Macaca mulatta: one gene and its partners. The protein of the gene in region 3 interacts with the protein of the main gene of each other region in a pairwise test. Links are inferred from orthologs where the notes say so. Each region holds a gene or a part of one and is shown on either strand. Other genes may lie near its edges.

Evidence for each region.
Region 1: the proteins of TRIM23 (region 3) and CDR2 interact in binary tests that used the Homo sapiens proteins (3 or more experiments, as listed by UniProt). The two-hybrid records come from large-scale screens. The link is inferred for Macaca mulatta from reciprocal best matches to the Homo sapiens genes TRIM23 and CDR2.
Region 2: the proteins of TRIM23 (region 3) and PITX1 interact in binary tests that used the Homo sapiens proteins (3 or more experiments, as listed by UniProt). The link is inferred for Macaca mulatta from reciprocal best matches to the Homo sapiens genes TRIM23 and PITX1.
Region 4: the proteins of TRIM23 (region 3) and BRME1 interact in binary tests that used the Homo sapiens proteins (3 or more experiments, as listed by UniProt). The two-hybrid records come from large-scale screens. The link is inferred for Macaca mulatta from reciprocal best matches to the Homo sapiens genes TRIM23 and BRME1.
Region 5: the proteins of TRIM23 (region 3) and LGALS8 interact in binary tests that used the Homo sapiens proteins (3 or more experiments, as listed by UniProt). The link is inferred for Macaca mulatta from reciprocal best matches to the Homo sapiens genes TRIM23 and LGALS8.
Region 6: the proteins of TRIM23 (region 3) and TROAP interact in binary tests that used the Homo sapiens proteins (3 or more experiments, as listed by UniProt). The two-hybrid records come from large-scale screens. The link is inferred for Macaca mulatta from reciprocal best matches to the Homo sapiens genes TRIM23 and TROAP.

The regions. Positions count from the first base shown.
Region 1 is NC_133425.1:21,841,763-21,845,745, reverse strand, and holds the start of CDR2 (cerebellar degeneration-related protein 2), read left to right. Parts: upstream 1-1,183; 5' UTR 1,184-1,258; coding exon 1,259-1,337; intron 1,338-3,983.
Region 2 is NC_133411.1:143,947,457-143,951,510, forward strand, and holds the start of PITX1 (pituitary homeobox 1), read right to left. Parts: upstream 2,801-4,054; 5' UTR 2,089-2,800; coding exon 2,055-2,088; intron 1,509-2,054; coding exon 1,272-1,508; intron 1-1,271. UniProt on the Homo sapiens protein: Sequence-specific transcription factor that binds gene promoters and activates their transcription. May play a role in the development of anterior structures, and in particular, the brain and facies and in specifying the identity or structure of hindlimb.
Region 3 is NC_133411.1:73,707,784-73,711,283, forward strand, and holds part of TRIM23 (E3 ubiquitin-protein ligase TRIM23), read right to left. Parts: intron 416-3,500; coding exon 253-415; intron 1-252.
Region 4 is NC_133424.1:14,475,526-14,479,025, forward strand, and holds part of BRME1 (break repair meiotic recombinase recruitment factor 1), read right to left. Parts: coding exon 2,346-3,500; intron 1-2,345. UniProt on the Homo sapiens protein: Meiotic recombination factor component of recombination bridges involved in meiotic double-strand break repair.
Region 5 is NC_133406.1:12,556,884-12,561,044, forward strand, and holds the start of LGALS8 (galectin-8), read right to left. Parts: upstream 2,801-4,161; 5' UTR 2,759-2,800; intron 879-2,758; 5' UTR 780-878; coding exon 735-779; intron 1-734.
Region 6 is NC_133416.1:56,495,530-56,498,531, forward strand, and holds part of TROAP (tastin), read left to right. Parts: intron 1-486; coding exon 487-539; intron 540-1,028; coding exon 1,029-1,150; intron 1,151-2,706; coding exon 2,707-2,835; intron 2,836-2,927; coding exon 2,928-3,002. UniProt on the Homo sapiens protein: Could be involved with bystin and trophinin in a cell adhesion molecule complex that mediates an initial attachment of the blastocyst to uterine epithelial cells at the time of the embryo implantation.

The DNA of each region.
Region 1 (3,983 bases), on a different chromosome or scaffold from region 3:
TTTTACCTTTACGTCAAGGTTGAGAACATTGACCTTCAGGTCTGTCATCCTGCTTAAGAGTTTCCGTGCTTTGTCTGTAAGATGGTGCTAAAAGCTTTACTCATGAGCAGTATTTGCTGGGTTATGTCGGTGGAGGACAGCGTGCTCTGCCTTGCTGGCTACTAAGTGCTGGGGCTGCAGCCTGACCCCTCCAGGTGCAATGCCACGTCCCCAGATGCTTAACTTGTGGTCTAGAGGTACCTTTTAAAAATCGTTGCAACCCTGCTTACAATTTTCCCCCTCCAAGTGGACAGCTTCGGGCATCCCTCACTGCCCCAGATTCTCAACGGGGTCTGGCGCCCACCGTTTTAGGGAGCGTAATTCCCAGAGCTCAGATGTCAACGAGACAAGAGCTACCGCTCAGTGGGCGTTTTCTCAGCCCTAAACTCCCGATCGACTCCGAGTCTCCTTGCCGGACCCGGAGCAAATCTCAGAGTCAACATGCGAGAAGCGGCAGCCGGGCGGCGGACCTCCGGCTTCCGGCACCCTCGCGCTTCCCGCCGGCACGAAGGACGCCTCTCGACAACCGCCCGCCTCTCAGAGGCCGAAGTCCTAGGCCCTCCGGCCTGCGCTGCCTGTCCACGGACGCGCTGGCCTCGGGACACCCACCAAAGCGGCAGGACTCGCCTCCGCCAGCTCCACAGCCCGGAACCTAGTACGCGCTCCTAGGAGCCGCACAGCGCAGATCAGGGGGCGGGCTTTCGGCCGCACCCCTTCACTGTTTCCCCGCCTTCTTTGTTTATTCGGGGCCCGTCATTGGCTGCTTGGCCTCGAAACCGGGCGAGCCGCGGGTCTTTGGAGAGACGCTATTGGACGAAGTCCCTGTCGCTCGGCCAGCGGCCCGCTCGCGATTGGTTGAGAAGCCGCCGGGGGTTTGAATCGCATCCCCGGCCGGGGAGGGTTCTGCCAAAGTGCCACGTTGGGCCCGGCGGCGGCGTGAAGACCGGCGGCAGCGTGAGAACCTGGCTCCCTACGTTCGCGCCGTAACGCCCGGCCGTTGGGGCCGTTGGGAGGCGCTAGGCGAGTCGAAGCAGCCGGCCGGTCGGCGGCGGTCGCCGGCGGGAACGGGGCTGAGGCGGCGCGGCGGAGCCTGGGCGGCGGCGCGTCCCGCCCGAGGGCGGCTCTGGCTGAGGGCGGAGGGGCCGGGGAAGAGCCCGGGGCAGCGGCTGAGGCGGGACGGCGGCGGCGGGGACCGTTGCCCCTAGAGGACCCAGCCGAGATGCTGGCGGAAAACCTGGTGGAGGAGTTTGAAATGAAGGAGGACGAGCCGTGGTACGACCACCAGGACCTCCAGCAAGGTGAGGGCGGGGGCGCCCCGCGGGCGGGCGGGCGGCGGCGGCGGCGGCCTGGCCCGGGAGGCCCCCGCTGCGAAACTGTTAAAAAGTTGCTTTTTCTGGCGGCTGAGGATGCAGGTGCCGGGAAGGGCTCGGGCTCACCTGGCGGCGGGGCCGGCCGTGCCCGTGGATCCCGCCCGCAGGAAGCCTCGGCGCGGGGCCCACGGCCCTGCTAATGCGCAGTTGAATATCAGACCCGAGGCGCATGGGGGCCAGGGACGCGCCAGGCACCGTTTTAAGCGCTTTCCGTGGATTAGCTAGTTTAATCCTCACTGCATTCCTCCGAGGCAGACCGGGTGAGCCAGTGTGTCCCGTAGTAAGTGGCAGAGCCCGAGAAGCCGCCCCCTCGCAGGCTGTGTAGCCCAGCGCCTTTCTTGGCCAGCACGGAGGGCCGGCTGCTGCAGGTGGTAGTGGTTTTGCGATGTAGCGGGAGCTGTGCGCTCTGCGCCGTAACTCTAGGAGACAGTAACTTTTAAAAAATTGATTAATTTTGAGGGTACATAGTAGGTGTATCTATTTATGGGGTACGTGAGATGTTTGGATACAGGCACGCAGTGTGAAATAAGCACGTGATGGAGAACGGGGCGTCCATCCCTTCCAGCATTTATCCATTGAGGTACAAACAATCCAATTACACTGAGAGTAACTTTTGTTATCCCATTTTCCAGATGAGGAAAGCGGAGGTTGAAACGGTTGAGTGGCTTGCCTAAAGCTAAGTGGGGGAGGGAGTGGTTTTTTGAACCCACACACTCAAAAGGAGGAGTTGTAGTCACTCCTCAAACCCCCATCCCTTCCTTACCATCCTAGTTAACAGTTTTTTTTCAGTTGGGAATTAAGCTGTTACGCATAGTTCACCAGATGCCAGTTGAAATGACAGAAGAGCGCTTCTACCTCTGCCACTTTTCTTCAGTTTGCATGCCAGCTTTCACTTAGAAATAGGCCTGCCGATGGTGTCTCCAGAGAACAATCATAGAGCAGCCAACACTTTGGGGCCAGTGGGGCCCCACTTTTTTTTATACTAATAGCAGGAGCTAGCAATTGGGGAACACTTTTGATGTGCCTAACACTGATAGGCCCATAACAGAGTTGCTCATTTATCTCCCAGTAACACAATAGAGGTGATAATGTTGGGGAGTGCTAGGGTTCCCCTTAAGACTCGAGAGCAAACATTCTTAACCGCTATACTGAACACTGTGAATAATCCTCAGGAATTTTTCCCGGCATCTTTGGTTTCTGCAATTCTATGTAAATGTTTTCAGCTCTAATCTTGCAGTGAAAATTAACATCTCATTTAGTTAAATATTGAATGATGCTGATGCTTGTTCATGCTAACCACTGAACATGGCAGATGCTTGTTCATGCTAACCACTGAACATGGCAGATGCTTGTTCATGCTAACCACTGAACATGGCAGAAGGAAACTGTGTAGACTTGAGTAACTCAGAAAAGGAAAATAAAACGAGCACCTCTTTTGGAGGAAGATAATTTCTTAAATTAACATGCAATCACTTTAACCAAAGTAATTCACCTTTATTACGCTTATAGAGTCCAAGCTGCTTAGTGGTTGCAGTGCAGTGTTTGGTGGCATCATCTTTATGTCCAAAGGACACATTTCTCATACGTTTTAACAAACCTGTTTTCAGATTTCCCCATAGGGATTGATGGCCTAGTTTGATAGTTTCTCCAGGATTTGTGAGGCAACCACTGTGCCATTGCAGTATTTCCCTATAATTTAATTTGTATCATCACAACTAAATATTTTTCTTTCCTGTATTTAAGAAGCATAGGCCGGGTGCGGTGGCTCACGCCTGTAATCCCAACACTTTGGGAGGCCGCGGCGGGTGGATCACAAGATCAGGAGTTTGAGCCCAGCCTGACCAACAAGGTGAAACCCCGTCTCTACTAAAAATACAAAAATTAGCCAGGCGTGCCTATAATTAGCATGTGCCTGTAATCCCAGCTACTCAGGAGACTGAGGCAGGAGAATTGCTTGAATATAGAAGGCCGAGGTTGCAGTGAGCCAAGATGGCGCCGCGGCACTCCAGCCTGGGCGACACGAGACTCTGTCTTAAAAAAAAAAAAAAATTTAAGAAGCATAAATCCTTAAGGGTATAGAGGGGGCAGGTTCTTTTTTCTGGTATTCCCAGCATCTAGCATAATACTTGGCACATACTGGAAGCTCGATTTTAGTATTTGTTGAACTGCACTGAAGCACTATCACAGAAGTGTTTTCATGGCTCTCTTCCATCAGGTGCCTTAGTCCACGCTGCGTTCTCCCACTGTTGGAGGTTGTTTGGAACCACCAGCTGTAACACTTCAGTCTATCAAGCAGCAAGTGCAGCGTGTCAGGGTTACAGGTGGAATTCTCTTTAACCTCTGATCAAAATAAAGTCATCAACTCTTCAAGTTTAACGTTAAAAACACAGGTCTGGCCAGGCGCGGTGGCTCACGCCTGTAATCCCAGCACTTTGAGAGGCCGAGGCAGGTGGATCACGAGGTCAGGAGAACGAGACCATCCTGGCTAACACGGTGAAACCCTGTCTCTACTAAAAATACAAAAAATAAAAAATTAGCCGGGCATGGTGGTGGGCGCCTGTAGTCCCAGCTGCT
Region 2 (4,054 bases), about 70 Mb from region 3:
TTAGATAATTTAAATTCCCCAAATAACACCACTGTAAATGGATTTTGAGAAAATTCCGGAGAAACGCGCCATTTTGGATTGACTTTTTAAAATCTCCGGAAGAATAATGTTGCATGTAGATATTTTAAATTCCAGAGACCTACACTTAGTATATTAATTATTTCAAAATCGAAAGATAAAGTTAAAATTGTTAATTCATCCTCATAGATTTGGTTCAAAAAATCAATCTATGATTATATATCTCTCTAGGTTTTAAAAATAAAACCAACCAAAGACCGCACTTAAAACTTTTGAAAACAAAAGTATAGTTCAGCGTTGATTGTGTTTTAACCAAGCAAACAGAACCTCTCAGAAAAATCACTTAGGGATGCAAAAGAGAAACAAACAGATTAAGAAAGTGTAAAGAAACACTCAGCTGTGTATTAAGAAATGAACAGAAGAAACGAGCAGAAGAGGCGCCCATGCCGGGGAGCTCTGAGCCCCTCGGGGACCCAGGCGGCTGTGCTGGGCAGCGGATTCGCTACCCTACTGCCCGCGCCGGCCACCCCCGGGCCCAGTTCGCTGCTGGAAAAAAGCTCCAGCTCGTACAAAAAGGCAGCGCGGAGGGAGACGCGCCGGAGCCGGGGCGGGGGCCAGGGCCGGGCAGCTCCGGGCTTCGGCTGCACACGTGGGCCGGATCCCTCGATCGGGGTTCGGGCTGGCCTTGCTGGGAGTCCGGCCGCGCCTCTTGGCCCGCTCGCCCTCACCGTCTTCTGTGTCTTCCTTCTACTTGATGACCCCCTCTCCCCGTTTACCCTTCCCGCCCGCCCCTTCTCTTTGGCCTCTCTCTTTCATTCTGTCGCCTACTGTCACGGTGTTAGCCTCTCTCTCTGTCTCTCTGAGGGCGTTCTCTCGCCCGTCACCCCCATTCCTTTCTCGGTCTGCTCCTCTCCCTTCGTCCGAGTCGCTTCTTAGTGCCCAGTTGCGCAAATCCAATTTTCCCCCGTTCTATTTACTCCTGATCAAGAGGGGCTGTCAGTCCAACCCTCTAGCTGTAGGCTCATGCATCTGCCAGTCTGTTGGCGCGTGGGGACCGCGTGGAAGTGCCTTCGCGTATGCGTTAAGTTTCCGCGTTCACCATCAGGTCGAGAACGGGAAAAAGAAAGCTCCTGACGCTTCTGGGGCGGAGAGGGAGCTTGGTTGCACGGCGCGGGCGTCAGGCCCTGCTCCCAGCTCCCCGTGCCCCGCGCCCAAGTAGGCTCCGTGCGCGCCGCGAGGGGAACGGCGCTTACCTGGCAGCTCGGTGTCAGACGACTCGCTGGCGGAGTTCTCGAGCTGCTCGCGGTGGTCGGCGGGCCGGGCCAGGTGGAAGGCGGGCCCCATGTCATGGGGTGGCGGCGGCGGCGGCCGGAGCCCCTCCGGTAGCCGCTCCAGGCTCATGCCCCCCTTGAAGGCGTCCATGGAGGTGGGGACCGCGGCGGGCGCTCCAGGGGCCGGGGCTGGGCGCGCCCCGCCGCCCTGGCTGCGACCTGCGGGGACAAGAGCGCAGCGCCTAAGCAGCTGCCCTCCAGGGCTGCCGGCGCCCGCAGCGACGCCGTACCCGCCCCATGGACCGCCCGGGGCTGCGGGGCCGGGCGGGCAGAGGCGGCGGCAGCTTCTCGCGACCGGGCGCCTGGCTTAGCGCTCTGTGCTGCGCTTCTGCCGCTCGGGCCTCAGCAGCCGGGCCGGCCCCGGCTCCGGCTCCGACTCGCGATCCGGGGCCGGTTTCTAAGGCTCCGGACGGCGCCGGCAGAGTCTGTCTTAAAGCGACAGCGCGCACAGCCAGGTTCCAGCAGTCCCTGCGCCAGGGGTGCTGGGTGGGGTGGGCCTGGGTGGGAGGGGGCTGGGGAGGGAGCGAGCGAGCGAGGGAGCGCGGGCGGAATCCAGCCCCAAGCCGCCCGCGCCGCCGCGCCCTCTCTGCCGCCCTCCCTCCCTCCCTGCCTCGCCCGCGCCCTCCCCCTCCGCAGCCACCTTCCCGCCGCCTCCCCGCCCCCCGCGGCCTCGCCGCGCCTCTCCCTCCTTCCCCGGTGACACACCGAGTTCTCCCTCGGCCTCACAAAAGAAACGCATCTGGGCTGCAAGTCCCGGGCGGCTCGTGCCCACCTCAGGCCCCAAATGACTTGTTTCGCCTAGAATCAACTCCCGTCTCGGCCGCCTCGAAGTCCCCAGCGCTGGCGAGAACAGCCCAGGATGAGTGAATGTTTGCCGAGCAGGATCGCACGGAGCGGGCGCCTTCGAGCCAGCGCCGGGGCGGGGGCAGAGCCCGGGGCCCGTTCCGGCAGCTCCCAGCGGTGTCCTCGTCGAGGGGCCGCCTGCCCCTCCTTCTCCAGCCTCTTCTCCCGGGAACTCAGCCCGGCTGAGTGACAGCAGCCTGCGCTCTAATGGGCCCCCGGATGCTGCCTCCTAATTAGCTTGGACCTTCTCCCCTAAGGCTGCTTCTCAGGCCTCCCTCTCTGCACCGCAGTCAATTTTCCGGGATTGGGATAGAAATGATGGCTTCTAATCAGACGAAACGTTTCTGCTGGCTCTAGGCGTTTGGAGAATGCAGAGGGAAGACCCCAGAATCCCAGCCAGGCCCCACAGCCTCTTCTACCTCTCCCCTTGTTTTACACCTTACACTTTGGCCAAATGGGCCAGGCCTGGCCTTGGCAGGCATGGGGTTGGCCTTGGCAGCCTTTGCCCTCCTTCAGGGTAGCTTTGTCCCAGCCTGGGGCCTGCATCCTGGCTTCCCAGGGCTTCAGGCACAGGCCTGGTAGGCCAGGTGACTGCTGTCTCCCAACCCTGGGCCAGCAGCCCAGGAAGCCCTCAGTCTTCCAGCTTCTCTCCCACACAGTGGTAGCTGAGTTGCAGCTCCAATGGGCCTTCACTGGGCACAGGCAAAGACATTACTCTCCCACTCCCAAGAGTGATTCCCTCCTCAAGTCCTTGCACGTAGGTGAAGTTTGTCGAAGGATTTTGCTCAACAATTGTTACCTGGCCCCAAGACCTCAGCGTCTTGAGCAAACAGGCCACAGCTGGGGCGGCAAGGCGCCGCCCTGACCTGCTTCTCTGGCCATAGGCGGACCCCAGACTGCCCTCTGCCCCTCACCTGTGACCAGCTCCACCAGACACAGCAACCCAAGGGAGCAGCGCCAGGGAGATTGTCGGTCTGGGAAAGAAGCAGGGAGGTGTCCAGTGTCCTCACCCCAAAACCCAGTGCCTCCTCAACTCCTGGGTGGGTGGCACTGACTGCGCAGGTGTCGGCGTCTGGGGCACTCTGCAGGTTCTGCCTTTGAGTCCTCGCCTTACCCCTTCGCATCACAGGGAGACACCCACGGTCAGCTGAGCTCCTTGTGAGGGCGGCTGGGGCCAGGGGCAGGCACACAGGCTGGAACCAGACCTGCCTTCCATTCCCTCCATGTTAGTCCAAAGCACCCCTGCCCCCATCCCCCACTCTGGGCCATGGAGAGACAGCACAGCTCCTTAGGGCCTGGCCCTTTCTCACTGTGCGTCTGTGACCATAGAATGCAGGGTCTGAGGCCAGAGGGATGACACTTCCCAGGAGTTTGGGTTGGGGAGGCTCAGTGACTTCTGCCTTCTTCCAAGCTGAGATCTCCCTCCATGAAATGAGTCTTGGTCATGGGCAGAGGAACATGGGGAAGCACAGTTGCCCAGCATTTGCCCTCAGCCCCACCTTTACCACGTTTCTTGGAGTCTCCAGTAGAAGATCCCTCCTTTCAAGGAGATATTCAGGTGCTGCAGCATGCTGGGGAGTGTCCCTTCACACACCATTCTCCTTTTAGCTGTCTTATCCCATAGAACAGCCTGAGTGCAGACAGCATGGGGGCACGCGCGCACACGCACATCCTATACATCCATGCGGAGATGCTGTGCACACACATGTACTCACTGCACTATGGAAGCGCTGAGTTTAGGCATATGTGTGCTACTTGGCATGAACGCCGGCTGGCATGGGATAGGAGGTGTGTTCTAACCCCGCCACATGTCAGGCCAAGGTGGGAAGCACCGTGCGTCTCTGGGCAGAGACTTAGAAATG
Region 3 (3,500 bases):
TTCTCAGGTGTCTTAAAGCTCTTTACAGGTAAGTATTGAATATAAACATCTCAGAAGACAAAATAAAATTAGTAACTAAGCGTGAGATAGTTTATAGCTTGAAGATTATTCACCTTAATAGAAACTCAGGCTTTCTGAAACTTTCTGGGAATTTTATCATTCTAAAAATCAAGTGGAAGGAAATTGTTTTCTATGACATTTGCATTACATGAACAATTTTCAATCTTAAATCCATACAAATACTTTTCCTACCTAGGTCTGTTACTTGTCGATCAAATGGGCAACGGATTGCTCTTCCATGAAGAGGTAGGCGAGTGAGACAGTCATGACAGACTGTATGGCCACAAAGCAAAAGGCGAGGAACTTTGTCTCCTTGCAAAGAAAAGACGTCTTCACAAACTCCACACTCTAGCACCTAATATTTGAAAACGAAGGATGTACTCTTTAAACCATTTTAAAAGCATACATATTTTAGGTATATAAGAAAATTCACCTAATATATTGAATCAACATTGTTACTTTATTCCTCCATGAAAAAGAACTATGTAAGTTGTAAAATCTTAAATCACTTTTAAGTCATTCCATCTGACAGACCCTGCCAAAATTATATCGTAACGAAATATCTTTGAAATACTAATAGTAGTGTTAGGGGCAAAGATGCTGTAAACTAACATCTTCATTATCTTTTGAAAATTATGATTTCACTCATTACATCTGAATCTGTACAAACAATATGTAATTCTACTGAAGGCGGGTTCTTAAGCAATTTCTCTGCAACTACCTAACCCATCATTAATTTCAACACAAATAAACTATCATTAATTTCAACAAAAATAATCTAAAATACGTGCTAACAATTACCCCTGTTAATGATAAAGAACTTGTTAAGAAAAGACTACAACTAACTTTCATGTTTCTGGTATCTAATGTACATTAAATAATACAAAGTCAAAAAAGCAGTCACCTTAAATTTCAATTCCTGTGCTCTATCAATAAATATAGCTCTGAATCAGAAATTAGTTTGTCTATCTAATTCTAGTTACAGACACATGACTTGCACAAGGCTACACAGTCAGTCAAAAGAAAGGCTATTTATCAGCATATTCTGATTCTCAAGTCCATATGTTTATGTTTTATAAATAGTCAACAAATTGTATTTATAGCAATAAAGCATTTTCAGCACTTATTTCTAAGTATATTTGTAGTGTTTCATTAATTTTTTTAAAATACCCACTGTACTATTCAATCATACCTCAAACTCCTGTCATTCAAGACCCACTACAATCTGGTCCCTGTTCTACTGCTTCACTGCCACACTCTTCTGACCCTGTGCTCCAACTATATCCAACAGCTTATAGTTCTCAGAACATGAGAAACTGTTTCATGTTTCTTCATGCTAATACTGAGGAAAGGACTATACTTGTCCTTTGGGCCCCCAAGTACTCTGTATAAGTGTCTACCATAACACCCAAAATGCTTTAATACCTTGGTTTTCTAGTCTGTCTTTCCCTGTTGGACCAAAAAACCCTCAGGAACAGGGTATTTTAAATACCAAGTTCCTAGTGCTTACATAAAGTCTAGTAAAATAATTTAAAAACAATTAAGCTCAACATCATCAAACACACAACACAAGGTAAAAAACAGAAAACCCAAGGCAGAAATCAGACTAAATCTACTACGATTTTAAACCTAACTCTGTAATTAACTTGGACTTTGGGCTTGAGATACAAATATCTTTCACCATGAAGTGATAATTCATAATTGCTTTGTATATTATTATGGTTCAAAAGAAATTTAAATTTAGTCTTTCAATGTAAATAAGGGTTTGGGAAGAGAAAAATAAATAAAAATAAGAAACAAAAAAAATTGTTCACAGAAAAGACGATGAAAATTCTTTACATGAAAAGATGTTCAATCTAACTCATAACAAGAAAAATGCAAATTAAGGCTAGGCACGGTGGCTCATGCCTGTAATTCCAACACTTTGGGAGGCCGAGGCAAGTGGATCATCTGAGGTCAGGAGTTCGAGACCAGCCTGGACAACACGGTGAAATTCCTTCTGTAGTAAAAATACAAAAAAATTAGCCAGGCATAGTGGTGGGCGCCTGTAATCCCAGTTTACTCAGGAGGCTGAGGCAGGATAATCGATTGAGCCTGGGAGGCGGAGGCTGCACTGAGCCAAGATCACAGAGTGAGACTCGGTCTCAAAAAAATAAAGAAACAAAAAAATGCAAATCAAAGCTACATCAAATACTTTTTTTTTCAGATTAGATCAAAAATGTTGGTAACACTTTGTTAGTGAAGGTGTGGGAAAGCAGACACTGTCATACATTACTAATTGCTATGAAATGTTTATTGAGCAATACAGCTTTTATGAAGGGCAACCTGTCAATACTTACCAAGTTTAAGTAACTCAGTAATTCTAGTTGCAGGAATTTATCCTACGAGCATATTAGACATGTGTGACAAAATCTGTATGTTAGTCCTTAAAGCATCATTTGCATTAGCAAAAAATTGGAAACAAAGTAAATACACATCAATATCAGCTTGGAAAATAAATTATGGCACATTCATAATACTATAAAACTATATAGGATAGTGAGAAAGATGACGTTTTTCATGTACACACAGAATGATTTCATATGATTAAAACAAAAATGATAAATAGAATATACTCATTTTTGCATAAAGGTGGGGAAAGAGCAAATTTTTATATTGTTGTATAAACGTACTGTCTTCCTGGAAGGATACATAGGACACCAGTAACACTGGAACATCGGTTCCCCATGAGAAAGAGAAACAGCTAGGGAACAGCTACCCATGTATAATTCTATCTATTATTCATATATACACATACTTCAATTCATCCTACATTTTTTAAAAAGGGGAAAGTTTCACGTTATCAAATCCATTTAGGTCAGGCACCGTGGCTCACACCTGTAATCACAGCACTTTGGCACACCAAGGCAAGAGGACTGCTAGAGGTCAGGAGTTCAAGACCAGCCTGGGCAACACAGTGAGACCCTGTCTCTACAAAAAAATAAAAAACTGAGGTGGGAGGATCACTTGAGCCCAGGAGGTTGAGGTTGCTATGAGCCATGATTGTGCCATTGCACTCCCACCTGGGTGACAGAATGAGAACCTGCCTCAAAAAAAAAAAAATTCAATTAAATATAGAAAAAATATTCACAGGCCAGGCGCGGTGGCTTATGCCTGTAATCCCAGCACTTTGGGAGGCCGAGGTGGGTGGATCACGAGGTCAGGATATCGAGACCATCCTGGCTAACACAGTGAAACCCCATCTCTACTAAAAATACAAAAAATTAGCCGGGCACGGTGGTGGGCGCCTATAGTCCCAGCTGCTTGGGAGGCTGAGGCAGGAGAATGGCATGAACCTGGGAGGTGGAGCTTGCAGTGAGCCGAGATTGTGCCACTGCACTCCAGCCTAGGCGACAGAGCAAGACTCCGACTCAAAAACAAAAAAAATCACAATAGAATTT
Region 4 (3,500 bases), on a different chromosome or scaffold from region 3:
CTGAGACGGCCCTCTCAATCCATCTTTGCTATTCCCCGTGCCCCTGCCCATGCCGGGAGACATGGGCCTTGGCCTTCCTGCCAGGAGCCACCCGGAACCTTCCCACGGGAATGTGTTCCTTGCCTGGGTCGCCTTGACTTGCTAGGGAACGCCTCGTGTCAAAACCAAACATGCCTAGGCCTTGGCAGTGCTGTCAGGGCGGTGCCTCCTCCCCTGGCAGGGGAAAGGCTGCCGGTGCTGGTCAGGTCTGACCAGCCAGCTGTCCGTCTGGATCCCCCCGAGTCTGGATTTCAGGGTCTTTTTCCAAGCTCGCAGTTTGGCAGCCCATTTAGGAGGGTTAGGGGCTTCACCTGCTGGATGCCACTTAGCTGCACCTGGCCCCAAACACCTTAACCATTTCCCAGCCTTCTCTCCAAGCCACCACCCACGAGAACACAGACTGGAGGCAATGGAGGCGGCTCTTAAGTGAGGGATTTGCATTTTGCAAGGCATGAGGCTCTCATAAAATTTCAGCTGCGCCCAGCAACAGAACTCCTGCCTTTCCCACACGCTCGTGTTCAGCCTCTACCACTGAACTGCACTGTGACTCACCAATTTTTTTTTTTTTTTGAGACAGGGTCTCTGGCACCCACGCTGGAGTGCAGTAGCGTAATCTCGGCTCACTGCAACCTCAACCTCCCGGGCTCAAGTGATTCTCCTGCCTCAGCCTCCCAAGTAGCTGGGATTGCAGCCATGCATCCCCATGCCTGGCTAATTTTCTTTTCTTTTTTTTTTTTTTTTTTTTGAGACGGAGTCTCGCTCTGTCGCCCAGGCTGGAGTGCGGTGGCCGGATCTCAGCTCACTGCAAGCTCCGCCTCCCGGGTTTACGCCATTCTCCTGCCTCAGCCTCCCGAGTAGCTGGGACTACAGTTTTTTTGTATTTTATTTTAGCCCGCTACCTCGCCCGGCTAGTTTTTTTGTATTTTTTAGTAGAGACGGGGTTTCACCATGTTAGCCAGGATGGTCTTGATCTCCTGACCTCGTGATCTGCCTGTCTCGGCCTCCCAAAGTGCTGGGATTACAGGCTTGAGCCACCGCGCCCGGCCAATTTTTTCTTTTTTGAGACAGAGTCTTGCTCTGTCACCCAGGCTAGAGTGCAGTGGTGTCATCTCAGCTCACTGCAACCTCCGACTCCCGGGTTCAAGCGATTCTTCTGCCTCAGCCTCCAGAGTAGCTGGGATTAGAGGCACATGCCACAACGCCCAGCTAATTTTTGTACTTTGGTAGAGATGGGGCTTCACCACGTTGGCCACGCTGGTCCTGAACTCCTGACGTCGGGTGATCCTCCTGCCTCGGTCTCCCAGTGCTGGGATTATAGGTGGGAGCCACTGTGCCTGGCCATGAATTTTTTTTTTTTTTTTTTTACATCTCGACACAGGGACAGCAAAGAAACAGAGGCTGACATTTGAAAGGCAAATTTGGCTCTGTGTTCCAGGATGCGGCAGCTGGGGCATGACCTGGGTGCCAGCCTGGCTTCCTCCCCTCCCGCCTGCCTCACCTCCAACAGGTGCATGAACTCTTCCAGAGTCTTCGCTGCTACACCCAGTGTGTGGACAGAGAACCGCCTGCCTCCCAGGGTGTGACTGTGACGCCCTCAGCCCAGGCTCAGGTGTGCCAACAGCTGGGGAGGTCACTCTTCCCCTGGGGGGCAGGGCTGAAGCAAGGCTGCCACCTGCCCAGACAGGAGAACGAATGCCAACAGCTGGCACCAGCTCTGGAGCCAGAGGAGGCCACATCTGGGCAGCCAGTGGGGCAGGCAGATCCCTGAAGGAGGCAAAGCCCTTACAAGTTCTGGCAGAAAAACAAAATGACTTATGTATGTTTGGGAAAGAATCATATCAGGACCCCCAGAGGACCCTAAGGAGATGGGCAAAGGCTCTTTTGCAGCTTGGGAGTGAAGCCCCCTCCCCAGGCCCAGCTTCTCTCCATCACCCCACTGTGTCCACCGCCCTCAATACATGCCCCGGGACCCCACAGCCAGGGTCAGGCACTGAATCAGAAGCTGCCAGGGGCTGGCACTCCTGGGGACTCCAGTTCAATGTGGGAGGCCCGGCTGAGAAAGCAGCTGTGTGTCACCATCCCTGGATATGTAGACAACCACCGAAAGGCAGGTCTATACTTTCTGGAAAACCACCGACTCCACATCCAATAGAGCTGCAACTCAGACTCCTAGAGTCGTTGGCTGTGTAAATGGTACGCCCTGAGCCCCAGCTCCCCCTCCACCGCTGTGCCACGTGAGGAGAGGGCTTGTGGAGGTTAGGTGCCTGCCCTGGGCAGGTATGTCTGTCACTCGGGGCAGCTCTTACCTGCTCAGGCGGGGCTTCGAAGTCAGAAGCGTCCAGGGCATCCTGTATCTGGCTGTCCAGCAGGAAGTCGAGTTCCACAGCTGAAGAGTCTGCCCAGGCGGCCTGGTCTGCAGAATGAGGCAGGTGGTCTTGCTGCCCTGCCAGGTCTGAGGTGGTGTCTATGCCCTGCTGGGCCCCAGGCTCCTGGAGAGGGCTGTCTGCTGCTTCTCTGTGTTCTGGCAGAACAGAAGCTTGCGGGGACACACGGAGCCCCTCAAGGTCTTGTTCGAGGTCCTGGCCACCTGACTCGGCTGCCTCTGGAGTAAGGCCTGGCTCCTGCTTTTGATCGACACATGGACCCGTGTCCGTGGCTGCATGGTTGGAATCTCCAGCGCCCATCATGGACTCTCCACTCCCGGGTGCCAGAGCCAGGGAGGCTGTCGGGCCCACTGGGACATCGCCAGGGGGCTTGTCATCCTGCCCTGCCTCCCCCATTTCTCCTGCGGTTTCCCCAGTGAGTGGGGTGCAGCCTGGCAGGGCCCTCCTGTAGCCTCCATCAGCGGCCTTCCTCTTGGGAGAGGCAGGTGACATGGCGCTGGCCTGCCCATCGGGCCCAGCCACCTCCAGAGCCCTCTCTTCCAGCTCAGCAGGGTCTGTGCTCAGGTCTGCAATGACAATCATCCCGAGGGAGGAGCATCCCAGGCTGCTATGAGTCCCTTCCCCTTCCCTGCCCATCCTGCTGGGGGTCTGCTGGGAGTCAGGAGAGCCCTGGGCCACAGACCCGGGTTCCAGGCACCAAGAGGCAGGGCCCAGTCCCAGAGCAGGGCCCAAGGTAGGAGCTGATGCTGGGGTACAGGGGATACTGTCTCCCTCCTCCTGGGGCCCTCCAGGCAGGCCAGCCCCTGCTGTCCTTTGGGCCCCTCCCTCCTTGAGGGCTCCTCTGTCTGGCTTCTCCCCTTCAGAATCACTGCTTGGTAGGTGTTCCTTTTGGCCACGATCACCTGGAACCCCATCTGTCTCAGGCCTGCTGTCTTCAGCCCCTTGTTCTGACAGGTGGTCTTGGCTGGCCCTCTGTGAGGAGGACAACCCCGTCCCCCTGTCTGGAGGGTCATCAGGCTGAGAATCTCCACTGCTGGGCACAGCCTGCACAGGGCTCTGGCTGCTCTGCTCAGGGTG
Region 5 (4,161 bases), on a different chromosome or scaffold from region 3:
CCTTATTTCAAGGATTCTCGCCCTTCCTTTTGCCCAAGAATCTTCTAGGGGGTTTACTAAAAAAGTGGCTGTCCTTTCCCAGACCTCAATTCAGGAGTCAGCTTCAAATAAGTGGAAACTAGACATTCCTAAAGATTCTCACCACCACATAAAACTAAAACAAGCTCTTTACTGCTTAGGATTACAGGGCAATTTCCAGCAATTACAGTCATTCAGGGGTTCTAGGACCAGCCTGAACTGCACGAGACCCTTTACTACTTCTCACTCTCCGTCTCCCCACTGGCTTTTGACATTTTCCCTGCTCAAGTGCCAAGCAGTATTTGAAAGGCTGAGGGAAAGATCGGGACACTAACTTCTCATGGACAGCTCTAATTAAAAAAGAAAATGAAAAACTTGTAGAGTAAGAAATCCATTTGCCTTTAAAAACTAAAATTTATGATTAGCTGAGCCTCCTCCCATTACCAAAAGTTGGCATTCCCTCCACTCTACCCAGACGTTCCCTGTTTATAACACTGTTTCATCACGTCATATTGCCATCGTGACTTCTTCCTCCACTAGAGGACGACAGCTGTTTTGTAGTCAGCGCCCACCACCATCCCTATTACATAGTAGGTGCTTTAAATATGTTCGCTGGCTTTTATTTTTGCCCTGTCTCCCAATGGATAATTAATATTGTATTGGATCTGCTCTCAATCCTGGCATAGGTAAAACGTTGTTTTCTAGAACTCAGTTACCGGGTTATAGATGATATTCTGTAGGTTGTTTAATGACAACATCATCCTTTTCCAGCTTCTTGTTGGAGTCTCTTCTGTGTATGACCTGAGATTTTAGGCCAGTTTCATTTAAAGGTTACCTGGATTGAAACTGAGGCACTGGCCCTGTGTAAAGTAAAAACAGAGGAAAAGAAAAGTAAGCATGCAGCATTTTTCTTCATATCCTATTTTAAAATTTAAATTATACATTATGTTACTGATATTTACCAAATAATAGAATGTTATTACAATCAAAGATCTGCCTCCCATTCTTACCAGTGTGCTCATATACTAAACAATTTTGGATTGTGAGTGTAGGAAATACTGACTTAGAAAATACATCAGTAGAAAATTTCTAACATGGAATTTATTATTAAAAATACTAAAATAGGCCAGGCATGGTGGCTCACGCCTGTAATCCCAGCACTTTGGGAGGCCAAGGCGGGTGGATCACCTGAGGTCAGGAGTTCGAGACCAGCCTGAACAATATGGTGAAATCCCATCTCTACTAAAAATACAAAAATTAGCCAGATGTGGTGGCATGCACCTGCAGTCCCAGCTACTCAGGAGGCTGAGACAGGAGAATTGCTTAAACCTGGGAGGTGGAGGTTGAAGTGAGTCAAGATCGTGCCACTGCACTCCAGCCTGGGCAACAGAACGAGGCTCCATCTCAAAAAAACAAACTAATTAATTAATGGCCATTACTAATCAAACAGTCCTGTACAATTATCAGAGGTATTCATTTCACTTTTCATTTCCATAAAAGGACAATAATTACAGTATTCACATCATTGGTTTGTTCTGAGGATTGAGTTAATAAAATAGTGAAAGAGTAAGTGCTATGTTAGCTATTATTATTGTGAATAAAAAGAATTGCTCTTCTTCCTCCAATTTAAACAAATCAAGGTGTGGAAATCCAATAATTTTAATACTATTAAGATACAATTTTCTCTGCTGCTTTAAAAAAAAAAATCACAGGGCAGGGGAGTGTTGGAAAGCATTAGCCACATTTTTTAAGATAAAAGCACCCATGGACACTACATTTAATAACTCTAGGAAAAACTCGATGACTTTAAGCAGAACTAAAGGGGAAACGAAACTAGAGCTTCCTGTATTTTACTTCCAGCAATTGTCATTATACCGCACACCAACAATACACACCGATCAAATCTATTACTTTTTCTTTATTAAGAAAAAAACTGTACCCCTCTTGGTTTACCACCTAAATATAACCCCAGTCTATGTCATTAACTTAATTCGTTAGTCAAAACCTCAAAACTCTGGCTCCGTGACTCAATACAGGAAGCAAGAACAAGAGCAAAAAGAATGGATGCCGAGTTGCCATACACATGTGTGATAACCAGCGAGTGACCCAATTTAAATCATCGGCTTGCATTAAATCACGCAACCCCTGAAGTATCCCCAGGGACAGGTCCCGCCAGCATGACCACTTCGTATGCATCACAAGAAGCCATCACTTAAGTTTCACGTACGGTCAAAGGAAGTCACATGACTTGCCCTTTGTAATGTTTAATACTGCAGTCAAATGACTCGGCATCCTAAAGCGCGTGTTAGAGGGAGGGAAAGCAATGTCACTACAAATTCCGGGACGGAAGCTTCCCCAGATTCCTCCACTTGAAGGTGGCTCTAGGCCTCAGGTTAGGAGGGAACAGGGTAGAAAGCAGCACAGGTGCGGTGGATTTGCAGCGAGGAGACACCCCAGGACAAACAGCCTGACTCCAGCCAGGGATGTACAAGAAAGGCCGCGACTCCTGATAACCCCTTATGCCCCGGAGCAACCTCGCCTGCAGAGGCAGCGTCCCCGCCACCCAGCCCCGGCTCTGCCGCGGTGAGGACCTGCGGGTTGGGGTGGACTGGACACTGTCCCACCCATCAAATTGTGATTTAGGAGGCGTGACATCCGAATGCCATCCTCCACTGGCGAGGCCCTCAGAGCAGCCACTCCCCTAGCGACTGTCCCAGTGGCCGGGGGTCGCGCTACTCACCCAAGGACTGGTGTTTCAGGCGCTCCACGGAGCAAGTTGTTTGTCAGCCGCTAGGTGCCGTCCGGTTCCCGGCTGGGGCGTCCGTGGGCGGCTACGGGAAGCGACAGGAGTCAGTCCTCGTTCACTTCCTGGCTCTCCCGCTGTGGTCTCCCCACCCTACCCGCGCTGCGCCGTCTGTGTATGGAGCGTCCCTGGCGGCTCTGCTGGATTTTGGACAGGGACCCGCCACTGATCGCCACCCAGCTCGGCCTCCTGCACAGCCTCTGGGGCCTTGGACCGCGACTGGCTTGCTGTGGGAGAGCACAGAAGATAAGGACAAAGAATGTGTCCTGGGTGGATCTGGCTGCCTTTGCCCCGAAGGCGGAGTGGGTGGAAGGTGGTAGGAAAATGGGAAGGAAAGAAGAGAAAGGCTTTCTCTTCCGCAGCAAGTGGGCCAACGTCCACTTGGCTGTTCCAGGCCTCCAGGTCTAGGAGGGCGCTCAGGGCTGGGACTTTCCGGGACCCGGGGTGATCACCGCACAGGCCCCGCCTGCCTGGACCCAGCGCTGGCCTTCCCGGGGCGCCCAGGTCCACGGGGTCAATGCCAGGGTTTTCTCAGCTTCCTCGTCTGCCTCGGAACGGAGTCCAGACAGTGCCAGAAGAGACCTGAAGGCACTGCTTTTTGAAGGTACACACCTCTGGATGTAGGCGAAACTGGGGGAAGGGTTCAGTACCTTGGACTGTGCCCAGCTCAAAGCGCCCCATCCGTTAGTGATAACATGGACTCGCAGCCACTCCGCGTCACTCGCTAGTTACCCTGCGCGTGGGTGTTTTCTCCAAATTGGACACTTAGGGAACAGTTTAAGCAGTATGGAGCACAATTCTGTGCGTATTAGATGCTCCGTAAATACCCAACTTCTCAGGGCTCTACACTGATAGTTTGACCTATTGGCTGTAAACACACCAGCCAGAAATATAAATAAAGTTTGAAACAAAGTCATGTCAGCCACTTGGAATGGCTTGCTGCTTATTGTTTGTTTTGTGTTAGGGACCTCAAAGTTCTCATCTTCTCTACTTAACTTTTATCCACATTTGTTTGGAAAGATATATTTTAGTGTCACCAACATGGGCTTTCTCCTCCTTGGCTTTTGTTTTCATTATTTTTTATTTTAATCGAGGAATTCATTACAAGTCCCATAACTGGGAACTCATGTTCTGATTCACTGTTGCTTTTCTCTCCTCCTTACCCATTTTCCAAGTTAGATACACTTCTCAAGATCCAATTTGAATAAGTGAATTTACCCTTGACATACACTGCCTTGGATTTATAGTTATCTTCTGGTGTGTGTCGTGTGTTTTATCTGTCCAACTCGACTGTAGTTTGAGAATGAACTTGTCTTATACATTCCCCAGTGCATAGTGTA
Region 6 (3,002 bases), on a different chromosome or scaffold from region 3:
GGTCATCTGGAAAAGAATGAACCAGTGTCTGATACAGGAGTCCCCCAGAGTTGGGGCCTTCCAGTAGCTTTAGGACTCCCCACCAACTCTGAAGGGGAAGCAAGAAACCTGTGATTACCCAGGATGAGCCCTTGGGATAGGGTTCAGGCCTTCACAGGCAGGCCTCAGTGTGACATCAGTTTCTTCAAGTCATGGGGGGACAGGCAGGACAGAAATGTGCTATCTCTTTTGTTTAGTGGCTACAGTATAGACTGTGGCAATAAATGGGATTTGGGTTTATATCCTAACTCTTACCACTTACTAGTTGTGCAAGCTTGCCTTCACCTCTCTGAGCTTTGGTTTCTTTGTCAAGTGAGAATAACATTTGTATCATCATTAGAAATTGTCATGAGAATGAAATGAGATGATGTTTGTAAAGCACTTAGCACATGTCCAGCTCATACTTGGTACTCAGTGACTGCTGGCTACTGTCCTTATTGTCATCAGGACTTCAGTGAGCCAGGCCTCAGGATTGCTCCTGGAGACCCCAGTCCAGCCTGGTGAGTGTGTCTGGCTGTGGGGAGAGCACAGGGGCAGTTGGGCTGCCTGAAGCAGGGAACAAGATCAGATAAAACTCAGCAGGCTGGGAGGGAGCATGAGAAAGTGGGAGGCTGGGAGGCTAGGTCAGAAGGAGAAGAAGAAGAGACTTTCTAGATAGGCTAGAGGTTGGCACAGTTGCACTTGTGTCAAAGGAGATGGTCTTCATTTCGGCCCTCTCTCTGCCACTTCCTGCAAGATTTATCTTCCACTCACTGTTTATCCCCAGCCCCTAAGTGCCATCACCACATACCCAGCCTACTCAGACGTTCAGATTAGTAAGTGTTTACTGAGATAGTGTTGGGTGTTGAGGGGCTGCTGGATGGGTTCCTGTCCCTAATAGTGCAATGGGGGCTATTAAACTAATATACCCTCTTCAGAAGTTGTAGAACCCTGTGCCAAACTTTGGTGGGTGTTCTAGAGTCTACAACAAATGTCCCGTTTCTTCCTAGCTTTCTCTCTCCCTAAAGGAGAACATGAGGTTGTCACTCGCTCAGATGAAGGAAGTGTGGCCTCTCTTGGTCTGGCCCAGCGAGTACCATTAAGAGAAAACCGAGAAATGACACATACCAGGGTGAGATGCAACTCTCCTGGGATGGTGGGTGGGAGGTGCAGGAGATGCTTGGGAGAATTTCGCAGCAGCAGCCAACACTGAGAATTGTAGGTAGAGCCAGGCAGTCTTGGGCCTCAGGATGTTATTGGGTAGGTTTACCCCAGATGCACCCAGTCCCTCTCCAATGTGAAACTGACCTCTCTTTATCAAATGTCTAGGGCCTGGGGTGAGAGATCATATTTGTATCACCGTCAGATCAGTGCTAAGGGTGAGACAGATCTGCCACTTGTCAGCCAAAAGGATTCATCCCTTCGCTTCACAAATATTTACTGAGTAGCACCAGCCTACTGAGTGCCAGGCCGTGTTCTAGGCTCTGGACATACAGCAATAAACAAGTTCATATTCTAGAAGGGGGAGACAAGAAATAAACACATATATAAAATAGTGTCTCAGATGACTGTAAGTTCTCTATAAAAAAATAATAAAAATAATAGGGCACTAAAGGGGAATTGGGAGCAGGGGAGTTGGTGTTGCAATTTAAAATAGATTGGTCAGGGAACTCTTATTGAGAAGATGATGTTTAAGTGAAGACCAGGGGTTGGAGGAGGAGTGAGATATGTTGATATCTGGGGGAAGGAATGTTCCAGGCCAAGAGAACTGAAAAGGCAAAGGCCCTGGGGAGGGAATGTGCCTGGCATATTTGAGGATCGGCAAAAAGGAGAGGCCAGTGAGATTGAAGCAGAGTAAGGAGAGCGGTAGGAGATATGGTTTTAGTGATAACACGATCAGATTGGGTAAGGAATTGTACACTAGTGGGAAGCCATGGGGAGAAGGGTTGATCAAGAAAGTGACATGATTTGACTTAGGTCTTTTTTTTTTTTTTTTTTTTTTTTGAGACGGAGTCTCGCTGTGTCGCCCAGGCTGGAGTGCAGTGGCCGGATCTCAGCTCACTGCAAGCTCTGCCTCCCGGGTTTTTACGCCATTCTCCTGCCTCAGCCTCCCGAGTAGCCGGGACTACAGGCGCCCGCCACCTCGCCCGGCTAGTTTTTTGTATTTTTTAGTAGAGACGGGGTTTCACCGTGTTAGCCAGGATGGTCTCGAACTCCTGACCTCGTGATCCGCCCGTCTCGGCCTCCCAAAGTGCTGGGATTACAGGCTTGAGCCACCACGCCCGGCCTTTTTTTTTTTTTTTGAGACGGAGTTTCACTCTTGTTGCCCAGGCTGGAGTGCAGTGGCATGATCGCCACTCATCACAACCACCGCTTCCCAGGTTCAAGTGATTCTCCTGCCTCAGCCTCCTGAGTAGCTGGGATTACAGGCATGCACCACCACGCCTGACTAATTTTGTAGTTTTAGTAGAGACAGGGTTTCTCCATGTTGGTCAGGCTGGTCTCGAACTCCCGACTTCAGATGCTCTGTTCTCCTTGGCCTCCCAAAGTGCTGGGATTACAGGCCTGAGCCACCATGCCTGGCTTGACTTAGGTCTTAAAAGAATCACGCTGGCTGCTGTAGTGAGAACAAGATATAGGAAGACAAAGGGGGCAGGGATCACTCTTCCACCTTTTTCTTCTTCACAGGACAGCCGTGACTCCCACCTGATGCCCTCCCCTGCCCCTGTGGCCCAGCCCTTGCCTGGCCATGTGGTGCCATGTCCATCACCCTTTGGACGGGCTCAGCGTGTACCCTCCCCAGGCCCTCCAACTGTGGTTTGTGTCAACAACTGGGGGCTGGGCAGGGGCAGAACAGTCTGGCCAGAGATCCTTGCTAGGTCTGCTAAGCCACCCACATCTCTCCCCAGACCTCATATTCAGTGTTGCGGCGTCTCACCATTCAACCTAAAACCCGATTCACGCCCATGCCATCAACCCCCAGA